2 linked regions of the Schizosaccharomyces pombe genome follow. The gene in region 1 interacts genetically with each later gene. Each region holds a gene or a part of one and is shown in the gene's direction. Other genes may lie near its edges. The genes, in order: fip1 and abc3.

Region 1 (3,929 bases):
TATGAAGCATCTGAATTGTAAGAAAGCCAGGCCGTTACATTGGGGTTGTAATTGTCGGGAATCGTATCGAATAGCGACTCGTCCATGTAAGCGGTGATGGCATAGTTGCGATCGGTGGAATTCTTCGCTGTCACAAGCACACTGTAACGTTGAGCGACTGTAAGGTGGATGGAGCTAACCTCTTGAGGCTCTGTGTACTCGCCGTCCACTTCGATGATGGTCATGTTGTGATCCTCGATCATGACATCGTAGTTGTTGAAAGCGCCAATGTTGATGAAGCGCAAACGATATGTCTTACCAGGCTCCATGGCAAAAGTAGCGTTGGCAGTATCGTTGAAAAGACCGGTATCGGGGACTGGCTCGGCACCGGTGGGATTTTTCCAAGTTTTAAATTCATCGGGCACGAGAATGTTGAAAGGAGTATAGTACCAATCCGTCATGGAAATGATATACTCCTCATCGTAATCGTATGGCTCCTCCAACGCGTTGATGATAAAAGGGGTACGAAGGCCATCGGGGTATTGGGACATGTCGTGAGAATGAACCCAGTAGGTGCCATTCTGCAAAGCGGTATAGTTGTAGTAAAAAGTGGCACCAGGAGGAATTTCGCATTGAGTGCTTTGTGGCACTCCATCCATGTAAGGAGTGAACTTTTGAAACAAGCCATGAGAATGCAAAGAAGTAGTTCGATTATTGGCGAGGGAATTGGTCATCTTGATGATGACTTGGTCACCATAGTCGACGACAAGGGGATCGATGGGCCATTTGTTATTAACACCAATGACCCAGCGGGAATTTCCCGATCCATCAGGGTCGACGTCGTAAACGTCTGTGACATTCCATTCAAACAAGCGTTCCTTGGCGACGACGAAGCGAACGCATGTAAGAAGAAGGCCGAGAATGGGGAAGGAGAAAAATTTATTCATTATAGCGCGCAAGAGAGAAAAGAAGAATAAGGAAAGATATTAAAAAAAAAAAAGAACAGAAAAAAAAGAAATGAAAACAAAGAGAGAGAAAGGCAGAAAAAACAGCAGAAAAAAAAAGAAAGGGGGTGTACTTTTATCGCTACCGTTTGTCCAGTGATGGCTTTATAAGCAAGTCGTTTTTCAACAAAACCTACAACAAGTTGACTTGCGATTTCAACGTCGCTTTGACCAGCTATTGTTTTGCCTTTTGAAATTCTTGATCTGATATCTTTATACACTGACAAAGGCCCCCAACTTAATAACCACCAGCTTTCTTCTATGGCGATACGATACGATACGATACGATGCTATACCACGATATCGAACTGCACCCAACTAAATTCGCAACCACTTAGTGAGCTATTGTGGATCTTCTAACCAACTTTAATGGATCGGTTCGTCAAATCCTTAATTCGCAAAATCTTCTCACCTGCCTATATGTGAACGAGTCGAGCACCAAAGCAATCCAAACACAAGTCAAACACTACGCTACGGTAAGTTAAGTTACGGTACTTTGCGTAGAAAATCGAAATCCGCTCGCCCCACCAACCGAGTATATATAGGATGGAGGGTGTGGGTGGGGTCGCACCCTCCTCTTGACGCCATATCGGATAAAAATGAGATTGACCAGTTTGTCTCTGACAACAGAATAATTCATCAGATATGCTCCTTAGGGTAAGGCAAGATAGGACAGTTTTGGGGTCGGAGTTGGTGTCCACTTTGATCGGTTGCTTATCTACCAATCTGGACAAAAGTTATCAGATGTAATCCAGATGCCTGGAAGAAGTGGGTCAAACAGATTAAAAGGGCATGCTTCCCCCCGGCCTGTTTGCCCTAACGCGGTGAAAGGAACGAGACAAAGGACATTGGCCTGTGGCTTGAGTTTTGTAGTGGATCGCTTGAAACGACTGTACACTTGCACATTCAAAGTACATTACATTGCATTGAATTGAAAGGCATCGCACTGCATCGCATTCTATACCCGTTGACAAATTGTGGAAGGATACAATTCGTATTGAAAAGGTTTGAAATTTATTTCATTTTATTTTTTTCTCTCTCTCTCTCTTTCTTTCTTTTCTTCTCTTTTACCCACCTTCTCTACCATGGCAAAAGACGTCTTTTCCGTCGCTATCTTCTTCATCGTCCTTCGTGAGACCCTTGAGGCTTCCATCATCGTCTCAGTCTTGATGTCCTTCATCTCCCAAACACTCATGGATAAAGATGGAAACGTGACGGATCCAAAACTAAAGCGAAAATTTATGCTGCAGGTTTGGATCGGTTCGTTTACTGCTTTGTTCATTTGTTTAGCCATTGGCGGTGGCTTTATCGGTGCTTTTTATGCCCTCGACAAAGATATTTGGAGTGGTTCCGAAGAAATTTGGGAAGGTGTCTTCTCTCTCATCGCTGTCGTCTTGATCACCGTAATGGGGTTCGCTATGCTTCGTGTCTCGCATTTACAGGAGAAATGGCGCAAGAAACTTATGAAAAGTATCGCCAATCGCAAGGCCAAAGGTATCTCCAATTGGGGTAAAAAGTATTCCATGTTTCTCCTTCCCTTTTTCACCGTTCTGCGTGAGGGTTTGGAAGTCGTCGTCTTTGTCGGTGGTGTCGGTTTGGAAACACCTGCCACCGCTTTCCCTCTTCCAGTCATTTGCGGTCTCATCGTTGGTTGTCTTATCGGTTACTTTATCTATCGTGGTGGTAATGTGATGAACTTGCAATGGTTCTTGATTGCCTCAACATGTATCCTCTACCTTATCTCCGCCGGTCTTATGTCCAAGGCCACCTTTTACTTTGAAATGAATAAGTGGAATCATCAAACTGGTGGTGATGCTGGTGAGCTCGGTGATGGTCCCGGTTCCTATCCCTTCAAATCCGCCGTTTGGCACGTCAACTATGGTAATCCAGAGATGAATTCCAATGGTGGTTACATGATCTTCAATGCCATTCTAGGTTGGAACAACACTGGTACCTATGGTTCCATCCTTAGCTACATCATCTATTGGCTTTTCGTAGCCTTCATCATGTTCCTCATGTGGTACAAGGAACGTCGTGCTGCAAGACTCCTTATTGCCAAGCTCGGCGACAAAGTTGTCGACTTGGAGGCTGCCTCTTCACACACTCCCGTGCAATCCTCCTCCTCTGAAGATGAATTCAAAATCAATTCTCCTACCGATGATAAAGGCGACAAAGCCATCGATATCGTTACCGAAGTTCGCGAGTCTTCTTCTCCCGTCGAAGAACATAAAGACGACAAAACTGTCGATGTCATCAATGAAATTCGTGAGTCTCATTAAAGTAGTCATGCTTGAACGAAAAATCTTGTTATTCTTTTTTTCCCCTCCTTTCCCAAATTCCCCCTACAATTGATTTTGTTTCTCTTTGCAAATGAACCCACTACTGATATCTCTCTTTGCATTCGTTTGCTGTTTTTGCTTAATGTCACCTTGTATGGGTAAATTCTTCCCTCCCCCGGGTCTTCCTGATTTTCTTTTTTTTTTATTTGGGTCCTAACTTTCAATATTTCCCTTTTATTCTTTTCCTAATTTAGTCAAAGCACAGGTTGTTTTAATAATTCATTTCTTTAATGCATATCTATCTATCTATCCATCCATCCACCAATATATATGTACCCACTTATGTATATGTATATGTACAAGTTTCTCACACTTTGTCAAGTTTTCAAATGTCTTTCTAGTTTATTAATCTTCACTTACAAACCTAACAAGTAAAAGCCGTTGTTTTGATGTGTGCATTGACTTACAACACTTCAAATCCATCTTTACCATATTTGTTCCCCGTAATACTCATTATGAGCAAAATTTTAATAAAAGACTTAAAAACAACCAGCAAAAACTTTACTTAGTCTTTAACAGATCGGCCATGTGCGTATCTTTGTAGCTTAATTAAATTTACACATGCGGAAAGAATCTGATATTTCATAATCTCAATAAGCTCGATATC
Region 2 (3,929 bases), on another chromosome or scaffold:
TTAGAAAATAAGCTAACAAAAGCCATCATTTCCTTACACTAAAAGTAGATTTAGCGAAAAACGTTAAAACTCTGAGTACCTTAACGAAGCAAAATTCTCCCACGCGAATTTAACGATTGGTGCTAACGAAAGCGGAAGTACGTAAACCTGAAAGGGTATTACAGCTGCATTCGGTAAATAAAAATGAAGTTCGGTAGGGAATTCTCTCACATAAGGATATTGAGGAGTAAGTAGTAGGAAAAAGCGGATGATAGCATTGGAAGGGATAATAAATTTTTGTGGGAAATGAGGGGAAGAGGGAAACGAGCAACTGGGGAAATTGATAGGAAGAACGTTGATGGTATTGTTAAGTGAATGAATAGAAACTCAGAGACTCTCACAAATCATTTAAAAAAATTTTCACTAGTCGAAAGTTTTTACGGTATTATTATTTTCATCTTTTCAAAGCATTATCCCAGTCTTACCACGAGATGTTCCTACATAATATGCTGCGCTTTTCATAAAAGCACATATCCTGCAAATATCTCTTCCATTTAAGATTATTTCGTTTATGCCTTACCCATGGATCTACGATTGATATCGAAGTTTGATTGAATTATGATTTCTTTGATACAATCACGAGTTATGTAAATGATATCTGTTGTGTTCTCGTTTTAGTATATTGGGTTTAACCTTTTCAAATTTGTTGCTAAATTTATATGGCACAGATCAGAGGTCGAACCCTTTTATTATTGAACTACTTCTTCTTCGGCAGCTCTCTAGTTGAGTAGCTGGCAGTTATGCTTACCATAATTGATTAGACATATCAATGAACTTAAGCATGTAGCGGTGCTCGACCGTTCAGACTAAAATAACAAGGTAGGGTCATTGGAGAAAAAATCATAAAGAAAGACATTTCGATATTTTGCAACGTCGGGAAGCAAATTGGCTGGGGTAATAACAACGACCGTTCTCATTAGTTTGAACTTATTAAAAAGGGGAAATAGTCATTGAAGCACTTAGTTTTTGTTTTGAATGCTAAAATGGTATAATACGTCTGTCTTACTAAATATAGCTACCAGTCTATTTATATCAAACTTATAAAAGCTAACAAACTAAGATCTTCGCATTTCAAGCAGAAAATCATTGATTTGTAATATATATTAATAGTATTTTTGTCAATTTGAGTATTGTTTACTATTTAAACTTTTCTTGAAGCAATTTGAAGATCCTAAGTTACTAACTTTTGCTAATAAAAAATAAAAAGCTTAGGAATATTTACACAAACATAGAATCAATTTCTTTTCTTCTTTTGTTTCCCATTTTTTTAAATTGAACAAAAATAGGGAAAATCTTAAAGAAAGCAAGCAATTTATTATGTTATCGAATTATCAAATATTTTTTACTTCTTCTTCAGCATTATAATTTCCTAACTAGTTTTGTTTACAATCAAGAATATAAAATTAATGCAAATGATCAAAATTTGCATTCGTAAGAATTTTTATTCAAGTGAGTTCAACTAATTGTTGTGAGGCCTAATTTATGTTAATCCATACTTCACAAAGATGACAATCTTCGAATAAACAGCTGAAATTATGCTTCATTTTATATTTAGTTTGTTTTTGATTTTATTTTGGAAAAGAATTATAGTTATAAAATTTTATATACTGGATACTTATACTTTTCCTAATCTTAGGACTTCCTTTGTCGTCTTTTACCACCTCAGTTAAGGCTTTGCTTGTTGACATAAAGTATTATTGAAACTAGAGAAAGTACTATAGACGAGTTTTTCTGTTTTATTAACTTCGAAATTTTTAACGTGATAAACATTGCTAAGATGCGCAAAGTTTCACTTTAGATGGAACGCTAGACATCCAGGTGCGTTTATAAGACGAGAATCATAACTATAGTTTATATCTAAAAGTTTGATATTTCTAAAATGATATCGTTTCATAAAACTACAAAATATGAAAAAATCTCAGTAGGTATTCTTTCAAGGTCTTCTCTTTTATTGATTACAGAACACATCTACAACAGTGAATTAGAGGTTTGCTTGCCCTTCCTAATGGACTGAAGACACTTGACCGGTGTCGAATCTAAACTCCGAGTTCAAGAATATTTAACTCCGATTAATTTATCAGATGTTATTAAGCAACATAATGAGATTCAGCGCAAACGTTATTAGTCAACTACCAACACTTTTATAGATGGTGATCTGATATCCTAACATTAACTTTATTTTGAATCCTACATAGCGCTCCGATTACTCTACTTAGCCCTGTATAGAAAGACTTAAGCATCGCTTTTAATAAAGTATTTGGATAAGTATACATGTAATGATCACCGCAAACAAAGGCTTGTCTCTGGTTTTGCTTATCCCAAATTTATTCGCTTTAGTTAGCGGGGGCTTACAATATGTTTTTGACGTTAGGAGACGGATCTTTCGTCCTCACTTTTCGCAATTTTGGACCATCTGGATGAAGTTCTTTTCGATAGCACTTGTTATTATTACACAAATATATGTGGGATATAAGACAAAAAACATCGGGTGGAATTTTTTTTCAGTTGTAACTTATTGTTTCGTATTATTTTTACAGTTTGCTGAGCAATCAACTCTAAGAGTTCCCATGGCTTCTCTATTGATATTTTGGCTTCTGAAAGTAGTTACCTCACTTTTGATTTTGTTGTTCAGTCCCTATATTGCAATTACCAGTATGGCTCGGTTGCTTACTTTAATTACTCTGTTCTGCTCGCTCGTATGCTTTATTAGTGAGGTTTATGTCCCGCCTTGCAATCGTGTCTGGTATTCTGATGATACAAACGAAGTTGAAGAGAAGGGGATAAGACCTTCTGAAGTTCGATATGCGAACATATTCTCAAAGTTATCATTTTCTTGGATCAGTTCTTTCATAAAATTTGGTTACACTAACTATTTAAAGGAATCTGATGTTTGGCTACTTCCTCCAGATGAGCGATCTGGCAATTTAATAATTGGTTTTGAAGACTGGTGGATATACCATTCGAAGAATAAACGAAGAAGTCTGTTTTTATGGAAACTTTTATTTTTTAATCATTGGAAACTTGTAGCTCTAATTACCATCACAAAGTTGATTCAAGATGTACTTGCTTTTGTTCAGCCAACATTGATTCAGAAAACCATTCTCTTTATTAGTTCTTATACTTCTCCCAATCCTGAATCCCCAAGTAGAGGTTTTATAATCGCTATCTTGGTTCTTGTCGCTAATTTCCTCCAAACTTTATTACTACAACAATATAATCAGCTTATTATGTTGCTTGGAATGAGATGGAAAACGGAACTACTTGCATCTATTTATCGTAAATCTCTTCTTCTATCAAGTTCAGCACGCCAAAATCGATCTATTGGTGATATAATAAATTACATGGCTGTCGATACTCAAAAAATAAGTGATCTGCCGATATATTTATTCATTATTGTTTCAGGTCCATTTCAAATTGCTTTAGCTCTTTCAAATTTATACCACCTTATGGGATATAGCGCTTTTACGGGTGTCGCTGCATCCGTTATACTATTTCCATGCAACATTATTGTCGCCAATGTGTACAAGAAGTTTCAAAGTATTTTAATGAAAAACAAAGATTCCCGTTCCAAATTGATGACCGAAATTATCAATAATATACGCAGTATTAAACTTTATGCATGGGAAACCCCATTCCTTCAGAAGCTACTGCATATAAGAAATACTAAAGAATTAAGTATGTTAAAAAAAATTGGTTTCATCACTGCAATTGGTGATTTTGCCTGGATTTTTACTACCATTATTGTTACAACTGTTGCTTTTGGAGCCTTTATTATTTTCCATGGGAAAACTCAAGCTCTCACTGCGGATATAGTATTTCCTGCTGTAAGTCTTTTCAACCTGTTGCAATTCCCATTGGCCATGTTACCCACAGTAATTAGTTCTTTGTTG

Evidence for each region.
Region 2: mutations in fip1 (region 1) and abc3 impair growth when combined (synthetic growth defect), as found in Schizosaccharomyces pombe (one study listed by BioGRID).

The regions. Positions count from the first base shown.
Region 1 is NC_003424.3:4,232,636-4,236,564, reverse strand, and holds fip1 (Fe permease Fip1), read left to right. Parts: upstream 1-1,796; 5' UTR 1,797-2,068; coding exon 2,069-3,262; 3' UTR 3,263-3,567; downstream 3,568-3,929. Other genes in the region: Fe transporter/Cu oxidase Fio1, read right to left, coding at 1-926. UniProt on the Schizosaccharomyces pombe protein: Permease for high affinity iron uptake.
Region 2 is NC_003423.3:120,432-124,360, forward strand, and holds the start of abc3 (multi drug resistance-associated protein abc3), read left to right. Parts: upstream 1-2,210; 5' UTR 2,211-2,315; coding exon 2,316-3,929. UniProt on the Schizosaccharomyces pombe protein: Iron-regulated vacuolar transporter that mobilizes stored heme from the vacuole to the cytosol in response to iron deficiency.